Coturnix japonica: one gene and its partners. The protein of the gene in region 1 purifies or fractionates together with the protein of each later gene. This does not show direct contact. Links are inferred from orthologs where the notes say so. Each region holds a gene or a part of one and is shown in the gene's direction. Other genes may lie near its edges. The genes, in order: FOXO1, SIRT1 and ATG7.

Evidence for each region.
Region 2: the proteins of FOXO1 (region 1) and SIRT1 purify together in Homo sapiens (affinity purification with western blotting; 5 studies listed by BioGRID and IntAct, with this or other methods). This does not show direct contact. The link is inferred for Coturnix japonica from reciprocal best matches to the Homo sapiens genes FOXO1 and SIRT1.
Region 3: the proteins of FOXO1 (region 1) and ATG7 purify together in Homo sapiens (affinity purification with western blotting; 4 studies listed by BioGRID). This does not show direct contact. The link is inferred for Coturnix japonica from reciprocal best matches to the Homo sapiens genes FOXO1 and ATG7.

What each region holds. Positions count from the first base shown.
Region 1 is NC_029516.1:152,516,673-152,520,420, forward strand, and holds the start of FOXO1 (forkhead box protein O1), read left to right. Parts: upstream 1-1,475; 5' UTR 1,476-1,691; coding exon 1,692-2,297; intron 2,298-3,748. UniProt on the Homo sapiens protein: Transcription factor that is the main target of insulin signaling and regulates metabolic homeostasis in response to oxidative stress.
Region 2 is NC_029521.1:8,449,415-8,453,162, forward strand, and holds the start of SIRT1 (NAD-dependent protein deacetylase sirtuin-1), read left to right. Parts: upstream 1-1,152; 5' UTR 1,153-1,306; coding exon 1,307-1,769; intron 1,770-1,917; exon of another isoform or gene 1,918-2,171; intron 2,172-3,398; coding exon 3,399-3,515; intron 3,516-3,748. UniProt on the Homo sapiens protein: NAD-dependent protein deacetylase that links transcriptional regulation directly to intracellular energetics and participates in the coordination of several separated cellular functions such as cell cycle, response to DNA damage, metabolism, apoptosis and autophagy.
Region 3 is NC_029527.1:2,881,841-2,885,488, forward strand, and holds part of ATG7 (ubiquitin-like modifier-activating enzyme ATG7), read left to right. Parts: intron 1-972; coding exon 973-1,167; intron 1,168-2,161; coding exon 2,162-2,365; intron 2,366-2,628; coding exon 2,629-2,744; intron 2,745-3,468; coding exon 3,469-3,544; intron 3,545-3,648. UniProt on the Homo sapiens protein: E1-like activating enzyme involved in the 2 ubiquitin-like systems required for cytoplasm to vacuole transport (Cvt) and autophagy.

The sequences.
Region 1 (3,748 bases):
CATCTCCTGAGGGTTCTAGGTGGTGTTTGGGCACACGGAACTCCAGAGATGCCCACCTGCAAAATGTGGCCGTGAGCTGCACAACCACACGGGCTGGGCTGGGGATGTGCTGGTGCTGACCGGGGAGTCCTCTGCAGCCTTCGTTCTGGTTGGCACAGCTCGTACGGAAGGAAAGATGTGTGTAACAACAGAGGTCTGGTGAGAACAGAAATGTTATGGAAAAAACTAAAAGCAGCAAAAGCTGGAAATAAATGCATTTCCTCCAGCACGATGGGTGCCGGCCTGGCTCTTTGGCTTTTATTTCAGACACCGGGAAAGTAAAAGGAAAGGGTTAGTTTATCCCCTTTTGCTTTAGCTCCCTCCAATGCACCCATTCGCATCCCACCCCGCGCAGCCCCGCTGTCCTGAGCTGCGCTGGGGAGCGCGGGCACACATCGCTCCCCGGGGCTGGGACGTGGCACAGAGAGTGTGAGCAGCTACTATTCCGCTTTTCTTCTCCATTAAACAGACATAAAAATATATGAACTTTTAAAAGACCTGTGGGCGAAACGGTACCGAGCTTCTGGCTGAGTCCTCAGCAGGCTTTGGAAAACGCAGAAGGGACTTAAAGCAAAAGGGATTCCGAAGTGCGACAGGCTGCAGCCAACAGCGGTCGCCTTTAGAGTGCTGGAGAACGTTCAGTGCCAGCAGGTCCTGCCCGCTTACACGCACGTAGAGGTACAATCTGTGGGCCTAAATCCAGTCTCCTACTGTACTCTTCTCCTTAATATTGTAGAGTATGTTTTTCGAGGAGCGACGAGCTATATTTAAGTAACCCCGACACTCTCAGGGGAGCGGGGACAGCCCACGGCCCGACGGGACGGGACAACCGCGGGACGGGCAGCGCCCGGCTCTGGGCTCGCTGAGGGTTTCGAGGCTGAGGCTGCAGTGGGTTGTTTAAAGCGTTACGGAAAATGAGGCAGATCTCGTTAAAAAATCGGCTGTGTTGTAAGGGATCTCATCCCTGCGATCGCCTCTCCCGGCAAAGCCGACGGCATCCGCTCGGTTTCAAACACGGGCAAAACTTTGCGGCTGCCTCCGCCACACGCGGGGGGCCGCTCCGCTCCGCTGCCGTCGGGGCCGGGGGCAGCTCCCATACGGGGACGTTCCCGCACAGTCCCGGCCCCGCTCGGCGACAGAGTTCGTTCCCAACGGGACTCGGCGGCTTCGCGCTGGAAAAAAAAAAACACAACAACAAACCCCCCCCTTAAAAAACAGAACACTACACCCAAACCCCAAACACACACAAACCGCCCACTAACAGCACGGGGGCACCGGCACCCTCCCGCAGCAGTGGCCCCGCGGCGGGAGGCGGGCGGGCGGTGCGGCGCTGCCATTGGCGAGGCTCGGGCCGGCCCTCCCCGCCGGGAGGAGGAGGAGGAGGAGGAGGAAGGCTGGAGGCGGGGCGGGCTCTGCAGTCGGTGCGCGCCGGGCGGCCGGGTCGCTGCTGCCGCCGCCGCCGAGGGCGAGGAGCCGGGCAGGGCGGCGGGGCCGGAGCCCGCGAGGTCGAGAACCGCGAGTGGAGTCGTCGGCCGCGCCGCGCCGTCGGGGTCGCGCAGATCCGCGCTCGGAGCTCGCATGGGGCGGCGGTGCTGAGCCCGCTCCGCTGCCCCCCCGCCGTCCCGCTGCCCCCCGCCGACGCCGCCGCAGCCATGGCCGAGGCCCCGCAGCTGGTGGACATCGACCCCGACTTCGAGCCGCTGCCGCGGCCCCGCTCGTGCACCTGGCCCCTGCCGCGGCCGGAGTTCAACCCTCCCAGCTCGGCCACCTCCAGCCCCGCGCCGTCCTGCGGAGGGCAGCCCGACGGGGCGGCCGCGGCCGGAGCGGCCGTCGCCGTCGCCGCCTCCGGAGCGCTGAGCGCCGACTTCATCAGCAACCTCTGCTTGGTGGAGGAGAACGAGGACTATGCGCTGCCCCCCGCCGCCGCCGCCCCCCCGGAGCCGGCCGCCTGCCGCTGCGGGGACTTCCCGGCGCCCGAGGCCGGCTGCCGCCTGCACCCGCCGGGACCGCCGCCGGTACCGCCGGTACCTCCGGCCGTGGCCGCTCTGTCTCCGGGCCCCGTGGCCGGGCAGCCCCGCAAGAGCAGCTCGTCGCGCCGCAACGCGTGGGGCAACCTCTCGTACGCGGACCTCATCACCAAGGCCATCGAGAGCTCCCCCGAGAAGCGGCTCACCCTGTCCCAGATCTACGAGTGGATGGTGCGGTGCGTGCCCTACTTCAAGGATAAGGGCGACAGTAACAGTTCAGCCGGTTGGAAGGTGAGGGCCGGACGGGACTCCTTTCGCATTTTCTTTTTTTTTTTTTTTTTTCCTCCCTAAAAGCAAAGAAAAAAAAGACAAAAACTACAGAAAAAAAAGACGCGGTTCTGCCCTCCCCCCGCAAGGCTCGGCTCTCTCTGGGAGGAGGGCCCCCCCCTCGCCCTGCCCCGCCGAAAGCAAAAGTTCACGCCGTGTCACGGCGCCGGCCCCGGGCGAGGAGGAGGGATCGCGGCTCCTCCCGGCCCCCCCCGCCGCTGCGGGCGCTGAGCGGCTCCGGGAGATCCGGGGGGAGCCGTCGGGAGACGGGGATGGGGCAGAGGCAAACAGCGATGGGGAAAGAGCAGGGGCAGGACAAGGGTTGCAGAAGTACCGTGTGTTTAATGAGTAAGCGCTCTGTTTGTCCCGGTGGCTGCGCTCAGCCCGCTTTGCAGGAGCGTGCGTCCTTTTAAACGTTGGTACTGAGCTTCCTGCGATCTCGGTGCGGGCCAGCAGCGGGGCTACCGGTGTAGAACCTGTTGATTTGGGGTCTTTCTGTTCAGCCCCTCCGCTTCCCGGCTTCACCCACGCGTGCGGTGCGCACCGCGGTGCCGACGAACGGGGTTTGCGGCAGCGCTGCGTGTGAGCGGCCAGAACCTCGCACCAAATCTTCCTCCTCCTCTTCCCTGCAGGGATGGCACAGGGCTGCCCTACTCCTGGCTCCGCACCGGTTCTGCCCGTTCTCGAGTTTTGCTCCCTTTACCTCCCAGTATCTCTTAATATTTACTTTATTTATTTATTTGTAAGCTCAAATCCGATATTTATATATTGTAACGTATTAACTGCACACCTCGAAATGGTTATTCCATCTGATTTTTGTAGACGTCATTATTTTGTGCAGGTAAGAGGTGCCCTACTAAAGAATCGTAGGTGAGGACCTCAAACTCCTTTTTGGTTTTAAGGCTCTTAAAGCTCTTAGAAGTAATGTGTTAGTTCCTATCGACATGTTTGGCTATAAAAGGTAAAGAATAATTGTCTCAAGGCGTCCCTAGGAGAGGAGTGATTGATGGGTGACAACTTTGAGACAAGGGAACTCAGCACTCACAGAATCACAGAAGATTCTCAAAGACGCTGGGTTCTTTTTCAGTTGTATTTTGGTCGGCTGGAAATAAAGCAAACTGCATTTGCACCATGAGCAGAAGAGACTTAAAACAGAGCAAATTTAATCAAAGAGCTCCCAAATTCAAGCAAGCAAATGTGAGCTCTTCTTGCTGCCCGATGGATGATGTGCTTCTTCTTGTGTTGCTTCAACAACTAATAGGGCTCACACACCTCTTCCTATGCCCACACACCTATGCTGTGCCGTACTGTACAGAAGTGAGCTGCTGGGTGATGTACTCTGTGGCAGGGCACAGAAGATACGCTGACAGTAGATATGTCCTGCATGTGCCTTGCTGTGTATGCTCTCCTTTTGA
Region 2 (3,748 bases), on another chromosome or scaffold:
GGAAGGCTGAAAGGGGATTGGATCCAGGTTTATAAATACCTGAGGTGTGGGAGCCATAGCGGTGAGGCTGGTCTCTTTTCAGTGGTGCGTGGGGACAGGACTAGGAGTAATGGGATGAAAGTACAGCATAGGAAGTTCTGCACGAATGTGCGGAAGAACTTCTTTACAGTGAGGGTGACGGAGCACTGGAACAGGCTGCCCAGGGAGGTGGTGGAGTCTCCTTCTCTGGAGATATTTAAGACCCACCTGGACACCGAACTGTGTGACCTGCTGTAGTGAGCCAGCTTTGTCAGGGGGGTTGGACTCGATGATCTCTAGAGGTCCCTTCCAACCCCTACAATTCTGTGATTCTGTAAGTTCTGCATGTTCCACCTTCAGATGGTCACACACACTCAGAGATGCAGAAGTAGAAGAGGACCCAAGCACCGCCAAACTGACTTCCCAATCCGGGGGTAACTGCTGCAACATCATCATTGCATGAGCAAATGTTTGCAAGGTTAGAGTCGGCTTTAGGGCCCTCGATTCATTTCCTCACCAACAGCTTCACAGAAAGCTTTGGATCGCCCACCTGTGCCAGTTACGTGGTGTCTTAGAACAGGATCTCCATGTCAATAAGCATCCAAACACCATTACTAACACAACACCTTCCTTTTTATGCCTCAAAACCTGATTGTCTCAACTTCAACACACACAACGAACACTTTGGGACAGATTTGCAGACAGTGATAGAATTGCTCTGATTCACATCTTATCACTTCTTGTTTTGATGCACATGAAGCGTGGTACGTGCAACTGAACCACCAGTACAGATCATTACAGCTGATGCCATCAAGGTGTGCAAGGGAGAAATTCTACTTGTCTAATATTGGTCTTACCACCAAGTTGAATTGGATTCAAGTCGCTGAAGCCATTATGTAATTAGTTGGCGACACTAAGCAGTAATATTAAACAAAACAATACCGAATTTTGTATCCATTAAGGTTAGATCAGGATTGCTGTGCTTGTAGGTAATACAACAGGGCCCGCGGTCACGTGACCAGCAGGCCAGGCCGCGCGAGGGCCGAGCCGGCGCCGGACGCCACGTGACCTGACCCCCCCCCCCCTTCCGTGTCCCCGCTCACGTGACCCGGTTTGTTGTTGTTGCGGCCTCCTCGGGGCGGGCGCCCGCGTGGGCGGCGGCGCGGTCACGTGCCGTGTTTAAATCGCTCCCTGTGGTGGGGGCTGGGCCCGTGGCGGCGGCGCTGCTGCGCGCTGCGCCGGGCGGGACGGAGCCACAGAGGGGGGCGGCGGCGGTTGCTTCTCCAAGATGGCGGACGGGGACGCTCCGCTCCTCCGCCACCGCGACGGCGGACCCGGCGTCCCGGCCGACGGCGCCGAGCCCGCGCCCAAGCGCCAGCGCCTCGACTCGGAACACGGCGTTTGCGGCTGGGGCGCGCCGCCCGCCCACCGCCCCGAGCGGGGCGAGGAGCCGCCTATCGCCGCCGCCGCGGAACCTCCGGGCCAGGAGGAGGCGGCCCTCAGCGCCCACGGAGACGGCCGGGCGCGGGAGGAGGAGGACGGCGGCGCGACGACGGGCGGCCGGAGCGGCGCGGACAATAGGGCCGGGCGGCGGGGCCTGGCCCGGGCGGAGCCGCCTCCGCAGCCGCGGCAGCGGGGCCGGGGGGAGGGGGCGGAGGCGGCGCCCGGAGAAGACGCGGCGGAGGCGGCCATTGGCTGCGAGCGGGCGCAGCGTTCAAACGGGGCGAGCGGAGCGCCGGCCCCGCAGCCCGGTGAGGACCCGACCCCATCCCCCGTCCCGCCCCGGGGCGGCCGCGGCGAGGGGGAGCTCCGAGCTCGGCTGCCGCCCGTCGGCTGCGGCGCCCCGGGCCTCTCTGCTCCGATCGGGCCTCCCCGCTCCGATCGCTATTCGTGCCGGGCCTCGGCGCGATGCTAAGATCGGCCGCGGTGCTGGCAGCGCGCTATTAGAAATGACAACCCAAAGCCCCATTGACTTACGGAATCAAACTATGATCCAGAGATGGGAGCGGTCGCTTTCTTTCTGCTTCTTGAAAACTTGCGTGGAAGGGACAGGAGCGGTTGTGCGGCCCCGCTCTTTAAGTAGCTTCGAGTTAGTCTTAGGCTTCAGCAGCTGAAGCGCAAAGTGCTGCACCCTCAGGGAGCTGTGTTTGCAGGTGGGTTTGGAGCACGGCCTGGGCAGCACCAGCACTTGAGCTCGGTCCGCTGTGTTGGGACCGACAGGTCGGGAGGCTTTGGGGTTTTTAAGGTAGTGCTTTAGGAAGGGCCTTTAAAATGCTGTAAGAGACCGCGTTTTGCCTGGGAAGTGATTTCTATTATAAATGCCTTATGTAGAGCCTATTCCTCAAGTCACTCAGATTCTCAGACGTGTTTTGGTTTGTATTGGCTGTCTCTGGCAAGAAGTCCTTTTATTTCTTTGAAGAATCAAGACAGCTCCTTGGGGAGTGTTAAGTTTCAACTGGTACTTTAGGCTGGGTGTCACATCTTATAAATCTGTGATGATGTGTTGAGTCGTTAATGACACAGACTTTGACTTCACATGGCAGACACTGGTTGTAGTAGAACAGTGTGCCGATGGATGTTTCTCATATTCATAAAGCTTTTCTGTGTAAGATGCTCACTGACTTCACATGTTACCAGACAGAATTGTGATGCTTTAAATACGTAAAATCACAGTAAGACATAATGAGTATCCCAGTCCTCTCTAGAGCCCTTATTCTGGGTGCGTGATGAAGTTAGATTGGGTTACTCCATCTTAGGACCACAAGCAGAGTGCTGGAAGCCAAACCCAAGGTACAGCGGATGATAAACTTAGTGAAGGTGGTTCAGGGCAGCACGTTTTTGTGTCATAAATGAAATACCATTTGAGTGTGTGTGTGGCCAGCTGCAAGATAACAGCACAGCAACATTCTCCTCTCTATCCAGCTGTGTGCTTGTGCGCGCTTTTAAATGCTGGGCTCTTAAAACCCCATTGAAGATTGTTTTATAAGGTGCGGAACATTGATTTTACCAGTTTCACAGTAAGAGCTGGATGAAGTGAGAACCGCATGAGAAAATAGTGGTAATTTTAAAACACTTCACTCTCGGTGAAGGTACAGACAAACTCAGTAACCAACACTGCATATAATGAATGCCTCATTCATGTCAACATCAGCCCACTGATGCCAGTATTAATATAGAAATCCTTCAGTAAATCGGAGGCCTGAAAATGTGTTAATAAGCTGAAAAATTAAAACCAACTTAAGTGATGAAACTGCCTATTTGTTGGCTATTACAGCTGAATGCAATGAATTACAACTTTAGGTTTTGTGATGCATTTAAATGTGCATGAACTGTGCTGCTTGGCTCAGTTTTGTAACTTCCATTGTTGTGCTGTCTTGCAGATAACTTCCTTTTGAGCGATGAAATCATAGCCAATGGTTTCCACTCCTGTGACAGTGATGAAGATGACAGAGCTTCACATGCAAGTTCTAGTGACTGGACCCCAAGACCACGTATAGGTAGAAGCCTATGTAATTATTCTCAGATGCTGCTTGGCTTTGAACACTTGCTTAGTTCTTCCTACTCTTCGGTTGGTTTGAAAATTGTTAGAAGAAATATAAATTATTTAGTTTTCATTAATTACTGCCTGTATCCTGTGTGGTATTGAAAGAACAGTGAACAGAACAGCAGTGCTCCGCTTAAAACCTGACCTAGTTGTTACTGCTCTCCTCGTTATGGGTTCACTGTTCAG
Region 3 (3,648 bases), on another chromosome or scaffold:
AACCTTCTAATAAATCACTTAAGAGAGTAATAATGACTTTAAATAAGTATGTAGAGCTCTAGTGTCTTTTATTCATTATTAAAACCTTCATCTTGATGTGGTAGAAGACCTATCAGCTGTTCATATTTATTTATTTTTGCTTTGGAATTGAGATTGCCTTTCTGTGCTATTGTTACTTGGTGATACTCAGTTATGGAAATATTTAATGGGGGAACAAGTATGGAATAGTGTGCATCTGTACAGTGTCAAATTGTGCACTAAGATAAAGCTCTGATTGAATTGTCATATGATTTTTTGTTTTTTCTAAATGGAGAAGAAAATTGAAAAAATAAAAACGGGTGTATTAGGAAAGACTAATGGAATTAGAAGAAATAAAGCTTGTTTGTGAAATCCCAAATAATAATATAGAAAGCATGATTTTGCACATCAGAAACATCGGAAACTTGTATTGTGAGTTTTCTTGTTTGAAAACAAACAGGAAAGCAAAATACCAGGCTAAGCTGTGGAGTTGTGAGGTTGTGATGAGGCTCACAAAAGCGTAAGTGTCGACTGGAGAGTTACTTGTAGTAATAAGAAGTAACAGTTGTCATTGCATTGGTTCCCTTTGGGACTAGAAACGGTTCAGCTGTCCTCTGGAGCTGCTTTGCTAGACCTAATAAGCCTTCTGAGAGAGCTGGGCTGTTTAGTTGAGGCACAAAGCTACTTGAATGTTTTTTGTCTGCTCTTGTAATCCAAACCAGTGTGTTTGCATTGAGCTGTTCTGTTCTGGATAAATGCAGCCTCTGAGACTGCCATTCACTCAAACTTTTGCACTGTACTTTAGTTTACATTACCTGTATACAAAGGGATGATAAGAGTTCAGTTGCCTTTCTGCCAAGCAGCAGCCCTACAATTTGTGTTGCACTTCAGAATAATTCTATTAACCCAAAAGTTTGTTTCTATATGCTGTTGTTTTTCTCTACCTCCATGCAGAATTCAGAAGGCTATAACATGAGCATCCCTATGCCAGGCCATCCAGTGAATTTTTCAGAAGTAACAATGGCACAGGCTCGGAAGGATGTGGCTACACTTGAAGAGCTTATTGATGCTCATGATGTTGTTTTCCTACTAATGGACACTAGAGAGAGTCGATGGCTTCCTGCTGTTATTGCAGCCAGCAAGAGGAAGGTATTGTAGTGCATCTTGTTAATAATCCCGTTACTGCATTTCAGCTTTTGCATATATCATAAAGTCATCCTTAAACAAAACTTTCTCTATCTGCTTATTTTTCATATGGAACTTCAGATTACTCTCAACACTTGTCACACTGAAAAGAGAAGGGGAAATGATGACAAAGTAATTTTGTATCATAGCTGCTTTTAGTCCGCATGTGACTAAACAGATGCATATGAAGACCATAAGTAATAATTACATGCTTTCCTCACTGAGAAAATATATATATTTTATTTTTGGATAGCAGATGTGCTGTGCTTTGTCACATAGGAGTTATTTCAGACAGTTAAAAGAATACTTTTGGTATCTCAAATGACATGAAAAGTTATTCTTGATCACCACTGTTGTACTTAAGTGGTATTTGGTGTATTTTAACACTCGAAGTTTCAATGTTTGGTTCAGAATATGTAGCAAACTTAAGAATAAACTCCGAGGTGGAACTAACATAAATTATTCCAATAGCAGTACTAATTACTATATGAGTATTAGGCCATAATATGGGGATGTTGATCCATATCAGCACATAGCAATTCCAGTCACTTCAGTGAGATGCAGTGTATTGGTTTGAAGTTGTCTTCAAATGCAAACTAGAATGTGCTTATGGACTTTGCGTTGCAGGGTTGTCTACAAGTGTGCCTAAATTTCTGCAACAAAAAAAAGTCGTTTTTTGTATCAAACTTCCCAGAAAGTCAAAGGAAAAAGATGTTTTCAGGACTTCTGAAACATTTTTGTATTTCTTTTGATGTTTGGCAGCTAGGAATTAGCACATATTAGAAAATCTGAGTTTTTTTATGGCTAGGATGTTAAATAGGTAGGTGTTAGGTTATCATCTGATTAGAGATTGTGTAGGTTTTTTTGTTTGATACATACAGTGAATGAAACCTGGAGGTCTTTTTTACCCTCCCCTTTTGGCTCACTTCAGGTTTGTTGTTCTCTCTGTTGTTTGTAGCTGGTCATCAATGCTGCCCTGGGGTTTGACACGTTTGTTGTTATGAGACATGGACTAAAGAAACCCAAACAGCAAGAAACTGGCAATGCATGTTTCAACACAGCCCCTGGTCCTTCTGACCTTTTGGGTTCATCGCTCTTTTCAAATATCCCTGGCTACAAACTGGGTTGCTATTTCTGCAATGACGTCGTGGCACCAGGGGATGTGAGTACAGTGTTATGCAAATGGTGACAAATATGTATCTCTCCTGTTGAACTGAATTTTTATTTCCTTTAAATGGGATTTCATTAGGGATTCCTCTTATATTGATATTCATTGGATTAAGAAACAGTTTGTCTTTTACTTGGATGATTGGTGGGGGGGAAAATGAATTGCAAGTCACTGAAGATATATTGTTTAGAAGAACAACTAAATTACTTTTGCATTACTTTTTTTTTTTTTTTTTTTTAATTTATCTATCATTCTAGTCTACCAGGGATAGGACATTGGATCAGCAGTGTACAGTGAGTCGACCTGGATTAGCCATGATAGCTGGAGCTCTTGCAGTGGAATTAATGGTTTCTGTTTTACAGCATCCAGAAGGGTGAGTCATTTCTGAGAGGAGTGGTGTTTAAAGAGATGTTCCCTGAGAAATCAGAGTTATTATATATAATCTACTGGGAGAAGGAGGAGGAGGTACACATTAAGAAGGGAAGTTCTGTAATGCATTATGTTGCCTACAAAATTAATATAAAGTATGGATCATGTAATATCTGTGTTACTGTAGTGTACCATTATTTCACAGAGAACCAAATGATCAAAGCAAAGTTTTGTCTTGGAGTTTGGCAATTTTTTTTCTGTGACTTTAAAAGTATCAAAGTACTGAGAACATTTCAAAAGAGAAAGTGATTTCTGTTAATAGATCCTTTACACAAGAGAGCTTTTGAGTGTAATGATGAGCTGACATAACTACTTTTGTCACAAGAAAGGCTTTAAGATAAGCCGAATGCTTCAAAATCCTAATTAAAATTAACTGCATGTGAGACACAAATGTCTCTGGAATTTTCTAATGTGACATTTAGGTTTATTTTCTCTTTAAAATCCGTGAAAGGAGTTGTAGGTTCCTTGCATTCGAATTCTAAGTCTCTGGTTCTGAAGATTTTGGTATTCCCATGCTAGAGCTTAGTTACTATGAAGCAAACTTTCCAGATAACTTACTTTCCAGATTCTAAACTGCAGGCTGCAGTTAAGTGCCTTGTAGCTTACTGGAAACTTTGACTGTTCAGTATGTTGTCTTGTTCTAACTTTCCTTCTTGGTTTTTTGTCAGTGGTTATGCTGTGGCCAGCAGTAGTGATGATAGAATGAATGAGCCACCTACTTCTCTTGGACTTGTTCCTCATCAGGTAAGAAATCTGTGAGAAAATGCTTTCATTTAAAACCTTGGTACTGATGTACCTCCTTAAAATGTACTCTATGCTGATCCGATTCCATTCCCAGAAGGGACTGA